2 linked regions of the Notamacropus eugenii genome follow. The protein of the gene in region 1 interacts with the protein of each later gene in a biochemical or structural test. Links are inferred from orthologs where the notes say so. Each region holds a gene or a part of one and is shown on either strand. Other genes may lie near its edges.

The links.
Region 2: the proteins of NID1 (region 1) and FBLN1 form a complex in vitro, tested with the Homo sapiens proteins (3 studies listed by BioGRID). The link is inferred for Notamacropus eugenii from reciprocal best matches to the Homo sapiens genes NID1 and FBLN1.

What each region holds. Positions count from the first base shown.
Region 1 is NC_092873.1:395,773,868-395,781,283, reverse strand, and holds the start of NID1 (nidogen-1), read left to right. Parts: upstream 1-4,403; 5' UTR 4,404-4,697; coding exon 4,698-4,949; intron 4,950-7,416. UniProt on the Homo sapiens protein: Sulfated glycoprotein widely distributed in basement membranes and tightly associated with laminin. Also binds to collagen IV and perlecan. It probably has a role in cell-extracellular matrix interactions.
Region 2 is NC_092874.1:310,068,188-310,075,884, reverse strand, and holds the start of FBLN1 (fibulin-1), read left to right. Parts: upstream 1-4,695; 5' UTR 4,696-5,091; coding exon 5,092-5,158; intron 5,159-7,697. UniProt on the Homo sapiens protein: Incorporated into fibronectin-containing matrix fibers. May play a role in cell adhesion and migration along protein fibers within the extracellular matrix (ECM).

The sequences.
Region 1 (7,416 bases):
GGAAGACACTATCTGAATCCAGAGAAAGAAGTGTGTAATAATGGGAGTTAAAGATCTTCCCCACCCATCAACAGGTCTCAGGTGGAGCCCATCAAGGGAAGCTTGATTAGGGGAAATCTGTTTTGTAGGAAGGCTCACATCTTTGGTTAATTGTTAATGTGGCACTGGGTCATGATACCTTCTGGCTCTGAAAAGTGTATATATACTATGAGGTGAGGTTTTGCTTGGGGGCTTACTCTTTGGAAGAAGGTTTGTGTGCAGATGAGACTCTGACTAGTCATTAAGAAGCCCCCTCCCCCATCCCACCCCCATCTCCCCTGTGCTTTGAAAACCCAGATGTTGGTGCCTCTCTCTCTGGTAACTATGTATGTATGTAATGGTCAGACAGTTGGATTTGTCTGTTGATCTGTGATGTATATACTGCTTATGTTCAGACAGTTAGAAGCCCTGTCTGTTGATCTTTATTTCTCTGCTTGTATTTTCTCTGTTGGCATATATGATTAAAGAAGACTATGACCTCTCAAAAGTTGCTTTCCTTTTAGAAAAGCAGATGTAAGAACCCATGCCAGCAGGTTACACTGGATGTGTCAGGGTGCTTGCTGCTACAAAGTGCTAAATAGAAGTATGTATAGAATGATTATATACTGCCAGGCCTAGAGGCCTGTGGGCTACCCGAGTCTTCTTACCTCACCTCCCGAGGTCTTCGGTTGGCCAAACTGGATGCTCGTATGAGAGAAAGGACGTTCCAGAGTCGAACAAGGGTTGAGCTTTATTTCAGGGTCTAGTTACAAGTGCAGGGGAATTCTTCCTTAGGAGGGAAAGAGAATGATCTCCCAAGGAGGCAAAGATCTTACAATAAGAGATTGGAAGTAGAAGTATAAGCGGGGAGAGAGGGGGAGGGGAGAGAGGAGAGAGGAAAAGCGGAGCCTTGTTGTCCTGTCCGCTCCGCGCCCCTCCGCCCAAGAGAGCTTTCAGGCTTTCCTGATCCTACTTAAACCCTCCAGCAGCATAGTTTGCATCTGAATACTGTGCTGTTAGATAACAATAGTGTGCCCAGATCCAGGACAATCTCGAGGGCGGGGAGAGCTCTCTCCCATCACATTTCTCACGGGAAGAGGAGGAAATACACGAGATAGCTCGGTTCACCTCGATTCCCAGCCGTTTCCTGGGGGGTCTCGTGAGAACTCTAAGATTTAGAAGTTCCCACCTTTACCTGCCCAAGACTGTCCACATGGAATTGAACTTCCAACCCTAGCATCATACATATACATATGCACACACATACGTATTTGTGTCTAATAGTAGCCATCTCTAGAGGTGCAGAAGGGAGTGAAGGGGGGGAAAAGAAATTTATATGACAACTTTATTATATATTTGAATGGAATAGCAAATTGTATATAGTATATTTGCAGTTTCATGTATAATCTTTTTATGTCATGTCATGATAATGCTTGTTTTATCCCATAAATTAAAAAAATAATAATATTCTCTTAATATTGTCTGGGACTTGAGATTAGCTTGGAGAATTTACCATAACTCAAGGTCTAGTTCTTTATTTCGATCTGCCTACAGGAAAATTCCACTTGAACTTCCAATTATCACTTCAAATTTACATTCTAAAACTCAACCTCATATTCCCATCCTAACTAGATCTCTTTCCCAACCATCTAATTTTCCAGTCTCCAAGGAGTTATATTTATGTTCTTTACTTATTCTTGCTAAATTTATCACAGATCCTCTTGATTTTTCCTTTGCTATTTTTCTTGGAGTTATCCCTCTCTTTCTGTCCATTGGCACTGCTATCATCCTGTTCCATGTTTTCGTGACTGAATTATTGCAAAAGCCTTTTAACCGGTCTCCTTTCTTCCATTATCTCCTCTCTCCAACCTATCCAGCACATTGCTTCCAGATTAGCAATTAGGTAATTTTACTATCTCCAAACTCTATTGTTGACAATTCATTCTTTATAGTTTCCCAAAGTTATCTTTCTAATGATTACTTAGTCACAGGTTTATCAGACCACTTAAGCTCAAAAACCTTCAATATTTTCTCATTAACTAATAGATAAAATACAAATTCATTAGCATGGAATTTAAGGTTCTAATGGACTTTCCAGTCTTTGTTCCTTCTGTTTTCCTTCACATCCTCCATGCTCCAGTCTAAACAGACTACTAACTCTTCCCTTACTTCTGACTTTTTCTGTTGGCATGTTATCAACCATCCCTCTATCAGACTCTTCCCTGCTCCCAATCTCTAATTGTTCACATCTTTCCTCTCCCTCAATAACTGAGCTACCAATTAGCCTGTCTTGATCTTTCCTGCTAGTCAGAAATCCTTCCCTTCTTGAATTTCTCAGACTGTTCTGCTCGCCCTTTCCTTCATATTTAATCAATTTCTAACTTGTATCAAAAGTTATTTGTGTTTATGACATCTTTTCCTCCATATACCCACTGTATTATAAAGTACTTGAGGAGAAGAATTATTATTTTTCACCTTTATATTCCTAACATCCAGAACAGTGCCTTACACGTAGCATTAATTTAATAAATAAATGCATGTTGAACTGAATTAAATTTAAATGACTAGTAGTTTTTTTCTCTCCAAATAGATTGTAAAAATTCGGAAGTCAGGCAGGCAGGCAACAAGCATATATTGAGGAGTTACAATACACCAGATGCTGTGTTAAGTACTAGAAATTATTTTAAAAAAAGAAAAGAAAAGAAAAGAAAACCAAAAAACAGCATTCCCTGACCTCAGAGAGAATTCATTCTAATGTGGGAGACAACATGTAAACAACTAGGCACATACAAGATATGTACAGAGTAGATGAATGATAATGTGAAAGGAGATAGCCCTAGTAGCTGGGAGAACTAGGGAAGACCTTCAGTAGAGGTGGGCTTTGAACTGACACTTGAAGAAAGCCAAGGAAGAAAGCCAAAAAGCCAAGGGATAAGGGGATAAAGGATTCCAAGCAGAGGGGAAACGGAAAGTTGTCTTTGTGGAACTGGAAATAGGCCAGTTTATCTGGATCGAAGAGAATGTAGTGGGGAGTAAAGTCTAAACTGACTGAAAAGGTAGAAAAGGGGCTGGATTATGAAGAGCTTTAAATGCCAAACAATAAAATACATTGTTATGCTAAAGGTAATAGGAAGCCACTGTAGCTCATTTAGCACAAGGGTGATATAAGCAGACTTACACTTCAGAAAAACCACCTAGCCAGTTGAGAGGAGGACACATTGAAATAATGAGAGATTTGAAGCAAGGAGGGAGACCAGCTAGAAAGTTAAAGCAGTAGTACAAGCAGGAGGTGATGAACTAGGCTTGTATGAGAGCAGAGAAATGTTATTAAGACAGAAAGGACAAGGTTTGGCTACAGATGGGATATGTGAGGTTAAAGTGAGGACTTAAGAATAACATGGTGGTTGTGAGCCTGGGTATCTAGGAGGATGGCTGTGCTCTCAATAGTACAAGAAAATCGTAGAGTTTGGTAGAGTGTGATGGTGTTGGGCAGGGAAGGAATGAGATAATGAGTTTAATTTTGGACATGCTAAGTTTGAGATACCCATGCAATATTCAGTTTGAGTTGTGCCTGAGGCATTTGGAAGTGGGAAACTAGCTTAGGAAATAGACTAGGGCGGAATATGAAAATCTGGGCATCTTCTCCATAGAAGTGTTAATTGATCCCATGGGAGCACCAACTTAGGTGCGAGGTAGTATACAGGGAAATAGGAAGAGGGCAGAGACTATAAGCTATAGGTCCTTGTATTCATGCCAACAGTGAACACCGGGTTGACAACAGGAGGTAAATAGAGATAGCTGTGCTGTGGTATAAAGAATACTGGATGTTGGACCAGAGGACTTTCTGCTGCTTTCCATTTCTGCAAAGTTGGGAAAGTCATGTAAACACATGGGGCCTCCTCTGTAAAATCAGGGAGCTAGACTGGAGCATCTCGAAACATCCTTCCAGCTCTAGATTCTATACCTACACACAGTTGATACTTAGTTGATAAAACGAACGTCGTCCCGGCACAGTTCCTTTCTTGACAGATAGCTGGAGATAGCACCTCCGAGTTAGCAATTTTATGAGTCTACAGCTCTAGCAGCTAAAGACTCCAGCAGCCTTGTAAAGAGGCCCTATTTGGCAAACCAAAGAGATTTCTTCTACTTTAAAAACAAACTCAATAGCCAAGCCAATTGAAGATTTTATAAAATGTAAAACTTTCAACAAAGTCCAGAGTTTAACCCCCTTCCTCCCCGAAGGGACCATTCATTTACCTTCAAAAATGACTAAGTCCTAATATTGAGATGAATAGTGATGGAGTTCAGTGAAGAACCCCGGGAAAAATACGGGGAGAAAAAAATAGGAAATGTACACAGGGAAGGGTCCCTACTTCAGAACAGCTGTTGGACCTGGGAAGGGGTCGGAGGAGTGACCCCTCCTTCCTCACTCCTATTGGTTCTGCTTCTCTGAGGTTGATTGGGTAGATGTCCCTTTCCCCTCCTCTCTCCATGCCCCCTTTGGCTCTCCTCCCCGATTTCCCCGTTTGGAATTTTCTAAACTGGAGGCTTGTAGGGGCTGTTGAGGGTCTTCTGATTACAGCTCAGCCGCGGGCGTCACCCTTCCTGTCTCCTGCTGGGGACCCCGCTCAGCTTCTAGGTCACTGAAAAGTTTGGATTTGGGGGTACCTTACTGGGACATGATGTCTCCCAGGGATCTTAAGAGGAAGAGAGGGGAGATGACTGCATGGACGCGGGTTGTGCTACTGCTGCCCTTGGCCCTACTTCTGCCCGCCGTGCCCGGGGACTGCCTGAGTAGGCAGGAGCTCTTCCCTTTCGGACCCGAGCAAGGGGACCAGGAGCTGGAATCTGGGGACGACTCCATCTCCCCAGCGCTAGAGCTCCGACTGCCGATCCACTTCTATGACAAATACGATGTCTCCTCCGTCTATGTGAGTACAGTCCTCGTGTGTGAGTGTGTGAGTGTGTGTGTGTGTGTGTGTGTGTGTGTGTGTGTGTGTGAGGGTGTGTAGGTGTGTTGGAGTCGGAGTATAAGGGAAGATGGGGAGCGAGAGAGGGGGGTGGTGGGGGATGTTCTGGGCAAGGGAAAGGGTGCTTGGAGTAGAGGTAAGATCCGACGTGGGGAACTTACAGACCCAGGCGCCAGGGGAAGTGCTTCTGGGGCAATCTCTGGGCCTAGTGTGAGGGGAAGCCCTAGGGTCTCGTTTACACCCCTCGGGTTTGTATTTTCGGCGCCTCCACTGCCTCCTGTGCGCTGCTCCCATTCAACCCCGGCTTTGCCTTCCTCTTCACTTCTCCCAGAGTATGTGTCTTTGGGAGTTGCCTCTCAGCTGGTTTCCGCCCTCTAGGGAAGAAAGGGACTTGGGGAGCCACACTTTTCTCTACTTTGGCATCCCTATTTTATGCTGCTACCCTTGAATTCCAGACCGGAATTTGCATCTCCTCCAAAAGAAAGGGGGATTTAGCGCCTGGGAACTTTGCTTGTAATTTTTCCATTGTCCTGTTAGTTTGGAGGAGGGAGCACACGACCTTCTCTGTACAGCTTGTACTCTGTACAAGCCCAGGATTAAATCACCTCCATCAGAGTTCAGCCCTGCATGGCCGAGAGCTGAGAACCCACAGTCTTGCTCAAATGCCACATGGTGCCCAAAGCATAGGAGGTCAGGAGTGCTGACACGAAGGGATTAAACCTCATTCTTTGCCCTTGGGTAATTAACTTGCAGAAGAAATTTCTGTGTATTTCCAAGGACTGATTTCGGAGGCTTTTTGTATGTGGCTTTCAAGGTATCTCTTGGCAATGATTCACCTCCCTAAGTAGGCTTATTTTAGAGCCCAGACAGCAGTATAATGGACTAAGAGAACCCTTGTGATCTAATTTCCTGTTGCATTGTGTGTGTGTGTGTTCGTCCCTCGTTGCCAAAGAAGATCATACCATCAGAGAAATAATGACATGACCATTGTAGACTTTAAAAGAAGAGTGAAATCAGGCAACTTTTAGAGCTCTAATGAACTTCATGTCTGATGACAGAAAATCTGTCCAGGCTTCTAATAAATTCCATATAGAAGTTGGGTTTTTCCCCTCTGTGAAGTGTTACTGATCTCAGCCCAATCTCATCCTTTTCCTCTCCCCTTCATGTGGATTTTACATTTATCGTATGTGTTCCAGAAGTGGGGAAACACACGTACCATTGTATCCTGCCTGTTAAATGGAAATGTTTTGTGAGAGGACTGGTTGAACTTTGCCTTTGACAACGCCCACGTGTAGCTTTTCTCCTTTACATAAGAATGCTTAAGTCAAGAACTCACAGAGAAGGGACTCTAAGCAGGGCTTTATTAGAGAACCCTCTAAGAGTTCTTTCTATCTATTGTACTGCTGTCGGGTCTCTAAAATAAGCCTATTCAGGGAGGTGAATCATTGCCAAGAGATAACCAAAAGCCACACACCAAATGTCTTGGCATTAGACCTAGAAAGGGACCTTAGAGGTCGGTTACAAGGTCTAGCAGATAGCAAGTTGGGTCTGGAGTCAGAAAACCTGAGTTCAAATGTGACCTCAGATGCTTACTAGCTGTGTGATCGGGTGAGTTATTTAATCACTGTTTGCTTCAATTTCCTGAACTTCAAAATAAAGATAATAATAGCACCTACCTCAATAGGTTGTTGTGAGAATTAAATGAGATAATATTTGTAAAACACCTGGCACATAATAAGAGTTTAATAAATACTTTTTTTCTTCTTTCTATCACAAAAGTAGTTTTAAATCTGTAAGGGACTTTAGAGGTCACCCAGTGTAATTCTCTCATTTTATAGATGGAAATTCTAAAGCCCAGATAGGTTACGTGACTTGCCCAGGGTTACCAAATCCAGGTCCTCTGATTCCAGATCCAGTATACTGGTCATCTTGTCTAACTCTTTCATTTATAGATGAGAAAGCTGAGGTTCAGATCATTCTACAGATGACATATAAAGCTTTAAAGTTTGCAAAGCACTCTGGCTACATGATCTCATTTGACTCTCATAGCAACCCTGGTCTGCAAGTACTTACAGATAATATCATCCCCGTTTTACTGAAGAGCAAATTAAGGCAATTAGAGGTTAAGCATCTTGCCTAAAGTCACAATGTCAGAGGCAGAATTTGAACCCAGGCCTCTTTTTATTTGTGTGGCTTATTCTTTGTGTGGCTCCAATTTGCCTTTTTGCCATGGCATTAACCTAAATATCTGGGGATCTCCTAAAGACTTGGAAACAAGCTCTGGAATTTGATTGTTTCCAAAATAAATTCCAATCATTCAGTTACCCAGATAACTGGGTAGGTTTTTATTTTTTGTATATATGTGAGAGAATTCCAGACTCCTTTTTGGATATTGGATTGTATATGTAAGAACTAAATATTTTATGAG
Region 2 (7,697 bases), on another chromosome or scaffold:
TCTTCTAAGAGCCTGAGAGGGATACTGTGCAGCAGCTGTCCCTCCCAGCCTCCTGTCTGTCACTTGTCCATTTGATGGAGATCCTATCTATGCCTTTGTCCAAATCTTTGATAAAAATATTTCAAAACAGAGTCAGTCAGCCAGTCAATAAACATTCCTTTATTAACTGACTGACTCATGGAGGAGGGCCGACAGATCTCTGGCGCACTCCACTAGAAACCTCCTTCCAAGTGGACGCTACATTCATCTTTGGGTCTAGTCATTCAAAGCAGTTTCAGATCCATGTGGCTGATTTGATCTCTGGCTCATGAGAGAAATTGTGGAATATTTCCTTGAAATCTGACTAAGTAACATCTCCAGCATTCCTCTGATCTGGAAATCCAGTCAATTTATGATATGAGGAAAATGAGGCGGATGAGTTGTCTGCCCTGCCCTGCCCTGCCTGATGGAACTTTCTTCAGCCTTGTGAGAGGTGCTTCATTTTCCAAATGTTCAGGAACCATTCCTTTAATGATACCTGACTGGGCAGAGGGGAGGTGTTGAAGGAGGAGTCAGGAAGACATCAAGACCTGTTATGAAGGATGTGTTTGCAGAACTTTATAAGTGATTAGATGTGAGAGGCAAGTGAGATGCGTGAGCATCTGGGAGACTGGAGGTGACATGAGCCTCATAGGAAAGACAGGCAGAAGGGAATGTTTGGGGCACAGTGATTGCAGAATTGGAGTGTTGTTTGGGAGAAGGCTGGGGCTAGAGATACAGCTGTGGAAACTGTCCATAGCAAGGGCTTGTTAGATCCACCAGAGGTGACACACGGTGAGAAGATTTAGGGAATGGAAGAAAGAAGAGAAGTTGGTCAGCAAGGACCAAGTGCTTTAGTTGCTGATCCCATGGGCCATCCGGTGATGTCCTGACCAGGTGACCCTGAGCCAGTTGCCAGCCCCCAGCATCCAGGAGGCCTCTGACACAAGAAGGGGAAGAGGAGGGCTGACTTGCATCAGTGCAGTTCCACCAACAGGGATCTCCTGAAATCTCAGGGTCTGAGCCTGATCCCCCAAATGACGTGAGGGGCATTAGACAGGTGAGCTCTGAGGGATATTCTCTAAGCCAGAAGATACAAGATGCAGAAGGGTTGGAGATCTGGACCAAGGATCCTTAGGAAAGGAGGGTGGGGAAGAAGTTCCATTGAGGCAGAGACAGCCAGAAGCATCCAAAGCATTCCACACTGCAAACAGGTGGAGAAGGAGGCGACTCAGGCACAGGCCATGCCATTTGGCACAGCAGGCATTGGTGATTTCCCAAAGCATTCTTTCAGTTGAGTTATGTAGGCAGGAGTTAGACTGGGGAGAATCTGGGGAGGGAATGGGTTTCTGCAGGCCAAGGGGGAAGAGCTTGAACACTGACCCCTAGCCTTTTGTGAGAAGGATTTGTGGAGAGCTCAGCTCTAGGAAAATCCCTCCTGGAAGGAGACTCAGGAGGTGGGAGATGAGTGGGAACACCTTCCCCAAGTGGGTTCTCCTGCTCCTGATAGGGAGTCTCAAATATCCACTGGATGGATCCCCAAGGAAGGGAAGCAGAGAGGGCCCAAAGCCAACTTCAGATATTGTGTGTGTATGTGTGTGTGTGTGTGTGTGTGTGTGTGTGTGTGTGTGTGAGATGTGCTCTGTGACAGGCCTGTGAACAATTGCTAGGCAAATATGAGGGCCAGCTGTTCCCCATTACCCAGGTCAGTGGGAAGGTTAGGGGCTGGTCTCAGGCAGGGACTTAGATCAGACTGCTGTGGAGAATTTTCTAGCTCTGCTGGAGGTGCATGAGCAAGCTGACCAACTCAGCAAAGTCCCTGAGCCCTCCTTCCCAGAGGCCTTGAAACAGAGAACACATTCTCCTGAGCTTGGCTAGGAAGCTAGGATGAGAGGCAGTGACAGCCCAGGGTGACCCTCTCCGTTCCTCTTGGTCCATCTTTCTGGCTGTAGCTCAACCCTTGACTGGTCCAGAACCCCTCACCGAACATTTCCCCTCTCCTTTACTTTGGGTGAGACTTTCTGCCCCTTCTCTTCCCCTCACCCTCCATCTCTCTCCTCATTGCATCCCAATGACCAATGTCTCCACCATTCAGTTTATCCAACTTTTAAACTCTGGGACTTTGGGGTCTGCCTCCCAGCAGAGAACTCACTGGGGCCACACCTGGTTTTAATTGGTTTTCTGCCCAGTTCTTGGGAACTCTTCATAGGGTTAGAACATGGGTTCTCTTTCTGATGGGACCAGCCCCTCCCTTTGGACCTGAGTTGGGCCTGGCTCTGCCCATAGGAAGACCCAGTCAGCATAAGTGGAGCCTAGAACATGGCAAGGATGTAATCTCTACCAGGTGGCAAACTCTAGAGGTGGGTAACCCAATATCACTTGACACATAGTAGGTGCTTAATAAAGGCCTATTAATGGACTGAGTGCATAGAATCCTATATTTAAGGCTGGTCCCTAACATTAGAGGCTATCTGGTCCACATTCTCCTTTTATACAGGTGGAAACTGAGGCTCAGGAAATGAAAGTGATTTGCTCTGGAGGCTGCTCAATCACACAGTGTTCACAGTGTGGGAGCCTGGAGTCAGGAAGACCTGAGCTCACATGTAGCTTTAGACACTAGCTCTAGGACCCTGGGCAGGCCACTTAATTTCTGTCTAAGTTTCCTTAGCTATAAAATGGGGACAATAATACTTACTTTACAATATTGTTGTTGATATTTGTAAAAACAGCTAATCAGGTGCTGGGCCCAGATCCAGACCTATCGAGTGATGGATCGCTAGCAGGCTCAGTGGGTAGAGTGATGGGCCTGGAGTCAGGAACATGAGTCTTCCTGAGTTCAAATCTGGCCCCAGACACTTACTAGTTGTGTGACCCTGGGCAAGTCATTTCACCCTGTTTGCCTCCATTTCCTCATCTGTAAAATGAGTTGGAGAAGGAAAGGGCAAACCACTGCAGTATCTGCTGAGAAAACCCCAAATGGGGTTACCAAGAGTCCACCATGACTGAAAAAATGAGTGAACAACAACAAAAAACCTGACTGTGCCAGGCCTTATGCTAAATACTGGGAATACAAAAAGAGGTAGAAGACAGTCCCTGTCCTCAAGGATCTTACAGTCTCACAGGGGCAGCAAGATGCATACAAAACTACACAAAGCAAGCTCTAGATGGTATAGAAAGTAACAGAGGGATAGCATGGGAAGTCAAAGTGTTTGGAGGAAAGCTTCCTGTCCAAGGGGGCTGTAGGACTGAATGGAAGCCAGGGAGATCAGTAAGCAGAGTGCAGAATGAAGAGCATCCCAAGAAAAGGCCCAGAGCCGAGAGAGGGAATGTTTTGTTTGTGACCAGAGTCTGTACTGTGTCAGAGGAGAGAAGGGGACGTACCAGAGAGATGCTGAAAAGCCTCAGCAACATATTAGATATGGGTTGGGGGGTGGATGAGAAAGATCAAGGAGTCCAGGCTGACTCCTAGATGGGGAGCCTAAGGGACTGGGCAGAAGGTGGTGCCCTCTATAGTCATATGGAAGGTAGGAGCAGAGGAGGTTTAGGAGGAAAGATAATTAGTTTACTGTTAAATGTATGGAGTTTCAGATGTCTACTGGACATCTAATTCTGGATATCTGGGAGGCAGTTACCTGGAGAGCCCTGCAATGAAGTGTTGTGAAGACATTTTAGTTGACTTCCTTGGATTAGAATAAGAATTAGGATAAGAAAATTATTCCATCTCCCCCTCCCCCAAAGTACTAATTAGGTTTCCTCTTTGCCTATTTGCTTTTTCCCTCCCCTTCTGGTGCTGCAATTGTTAGGGTGTCTACTGATTGTTAAGCAAACGTAAAAGAAAGAGAAACCTCTGGGTTCAGAGGTCAGAGGCTGAGGGTTGAGAGTCAATAATCCCACCTTCAGGGAGGGGAGAGAGAGGGGCAGGGAGAAGAGGGAGGGAGGGGAGGGAGGGGAGGGAGGGGGAGACAGACAGCTTGGAGCAGCCCATCACTGGGGTTTTCAGCCAACTCTGATATTCTGTGGCTCAGTAAATCCTGATATCCAGTAAATATTTGTAACAGTTGAGGGGCGGGGGAAGAGAGAGAGAGAGAAAGACAGAGAGAGGGAGGAAGAGAAAGAGGGAGAGGGAGAGGGACAGGGACAGGGAGAGAGAGAGTTGCAGAAAAGGAGGTGGCTGCTCTCCTGGTGCCCATAGTCTGGAGACTGATAAGACGAAAATACAGATAAGTAGAACACAGAACAATGCCCATGATAAGTGGCTTTCCCTGGAGGGGGCAAAGTGCTCCTTCTGAGGTGGGGGATGGGAGTGTTCAGGACAGGGGCCTCCGGGAAGCATGGACTCCCCATCACTTGTTGTGATGGATGGGGCAAAGGGGACTGTGGGTCCTGGAGGGACATGTCTCAGAGCCTGTTCTCTGGTTCCGGTATTCTGAAGGGGCACTGAGTGACCTTCAGTCTTAGGCCTGGCAGGAGTCCAGTAGAGTGGGGTGGCTTTGGAGAAACTCCAACCGAGGGCCCCTTCCCCTCTCCACTTTTGGAAAGAAGCGAGGGCAGAGGAACATGAGAGGAGAGAAAAGGGGAGACAGACTGAGACACGCAGAGAGAGACAAGACAGGAGCAGAGAGCTGGACAGACAGAGCAGAGGGAGGGGGAAAGAGTCGTTTTTGTTTTTAAAGAACCCCGAACCCGGGAGACGGAAAGAGCCAGGCAGCCAGAAATCCAGCCCGGAGCGGCCTGCTGCCATCACTCCAGCGATCGGCCCGCCCCACGCCCGCCCGCCCCCCGCCCCAGTCCCCCGCCCCATCTCCCGCTCCCCCTAGCCTAGCCTGGGCTTGGGCCAGAGCGCTTCCAGGCGGGATAATTAAAAGGAGCAGGGCGAGTCGCTCCCGAGGACAGAAGCAAGCGGGCGGCCCGGGGACCGCTGGGCACCCCGCGTCCTCACACTCCCTCACACAAGTGCCCCCCAAGTCCAGAAGGGAGGAGCGGGAGCCGGGCCGCCGGCCGGAGAAGAAGGAGAAGTCGCTGGCCCCTTTGTGCGCTCAGGGGGCTCACCCCCTTCCCAGAGTCCCGCGCCCCATGGAGCCGGCCTGGCCGCCGCGCCCTCTGGGGCTGCTGGCCCTCGTCACGCTGCTGGCCGCCGGAGGTAAGGAGAGGGGCCAGCTGGGGGGCTGGGGACCGCCCCCAGAGCGCAGTCGTGGGGAGAGGGGCTCGGGCGCGAGGTGGTGCCGGAGACCTCAGCCCCTTAACGTCCCCCTTCTCTCTCTCACAGAAGGGCCTTCTGTGGGTTCCCCCCCGCCCCGCGCCTCCTTTCTCTCTGCCACTCCGGAGGAAGGGAACTTGTGATACCCGTCTGTCCTGTCGTGTTCTGGCCTCCCGTCCTGGCCACTGACACAACCCAACGGCATCGCCAGCCCCGGCACCCCAGGTGCCCAAGGGCTTCCGCCTCGTCTCTGCCTCCCTGCCCACACCCTCCCGCATTGCTCGCCATCCCCTCTCCCCCCCACCAACTCACTCTCCCCACTCTTCTCGGAGCTTTCTTTGAGAGGGCAGATGTTCTTCTCACCTGTGTGACCTCGGGCATATTGCTTCCCTGTTCCCGGCCTCGGTTTCCCCATCTGTCAAAAAGGGAGGTGGACTAGGTGTTTTCAGCCCACCCCCACCCCATCTTCCAAATTCTTTTCTCCCACCTCCTTGCCAACACATGCTAATTCCTAGGTTACTGTGGCAGAGTGAAAAAAGACTTGGGAGTGGAGAACGCTGGGTTCTCAGCATTCGCTGAGGGTGTCTATCCCTTGGTCAGAAGAGACTTTGTTGGGGCCCCTTCTCCCCTAGCTCACCCTCCCTTTTCTGGGCTGTAAAACCATATCAGGGAGGAGGCAGCCTTTTCCAGGGGTCCTGCCTGCAGTGTCCCCAGCTCTAATCTACACAAGCCCTTCCTAGCGTTGTTATTGAAACAATTAAAGCCAGAGACCAGAACCATTCCTGGTGAGGGGGTGGGGAGTGGGGAGAAGAGGGGCAGTGCTCAAGAGTCTGTGGGACAGAGCACATGTTTGCTTTCTCCTCCCCATGGGCATCCTGGCAGAATCTCTTTCCTCATTGGTGGAGTCCAGGTCTCAGGGAGTAGGGAGGGGGCTGCTCTGGACTTGGAGCTCTGGCTTCCTCCCCTGATTCTGTGGCCATTGGGCATGGGTGGGATTTCCTTGTCCAGAGTCTCATTTTCCTTATCTGTAGAATAGTGCCTTCAGCAGTAGTGCCTTCAGCACTTGGTGTTGGGAGAAAGCTTGTGAAAAAAGGAAGGATTTAGGAGAGACTCTGGCTGTCCAAGAGACATCCAGTCCAGTTCGGGGAGCTTTGGAAGCCAGGGCAGTGCCCAGACATGGGCACTCCCTCAGATAATTTGGCCAGCTCCAGAACCAGGCCTGGTCCCAGCCTCCATTCTTTGCCTTCCTGAAGGTCTTCAGGCAGAGATGGATGATCAGTTACCCACTAGAAGGTTCTTGTTCAGACAGGAGTGAGATTAGATGAGCATTGAGATGCTTTCCATTTCAGAATTGCCATGGTTCTCCCTGTACAGTCTTGTCCCTTCCCCTTTCTGGCCTCAGTTTCCTCATCTGTAAAATGAGATTCCCTGTTCTTTAATGTCCCTTTCAGCTTCCTCACCTATTTTAAAAAAACTGAGCTATATGGACTGGACAGCTGAGGTGGCCTTGCTGGCTCCTGACAGTGGACAGTAGCTTCTACCCTCTGGCATGGGCTGCTGGGCCTGGCAGCTGGAGAAATGGGACAGGAGAAGGTTCTGTCCCCTTCCTCCACCCCAGGCTTTCTTCTCACTAGTCACAGGCCTGACCTCCAGGCTGACTGGGAGCTCACCCCAAGGACATGCCTTTCTCTTCCACCCCCAGGCTCTTCCATTTATGGCTTTGGGGTGGGGGTGTTTCTCTTTGTGGGCCCCCAAACTACCAGAAAAGCTATTGGGCAAGTCTGAATGAGTGGGCAGCAGGGACCCCAAAGAGTCCCAAAGAGGAATCGATTTTGGTTAGCTATTTACATAACCCTGACAGGGACAGTCAAAGTTTCCCCTCCCCAAGCCCCCAGAGCCTCACTGGGGAGTTGAGGAGCTTCTGGCAGGTCTGGACAGGCCAGGATAGCTTCAGGCCTGGCCCATGGTTGGGGGGGAGCAAGGAGCTGGTGCCAAGGGATGGGTTACTTTGGCTCTAGTGCCTCATGGAGACCAAGGGAATCCCAGTAGGGCCCTACCCATCTCCATGGAGAGAGGAATGATGGAGGATGGGATCCCAGAGCCTAGCAGTCAATGACTGACAATGATAGAGCCAGACAATAAGATGGGATGATTTGAATCCAGGGTCCTCCCTCCTCTATTCTGCTTAGAGCATCAAATGACCCTGTATTAATACCCCAATTCAAAAGAATTCAAGAAGCCTCTGAATAGGGAATCCTTTCCTGGAGGTGTCTGGACCCACTGACTCCCCTGGCATCCTGAAAAGAGCCCTTGGCTAGCAGCAACAAAGCAGGAGCCTGATTCTACTGCTTTATTGACTTTGTGATGCTGGGGAAGGGGCATAATACCATCCTCCTCATCCATACCATGTACTGCCTCCCTGGTGGAGTGGTGGGAAGATGACACTGGTGGTGGTGTCCTGGAACCTGGGTTCTAAAGTCAT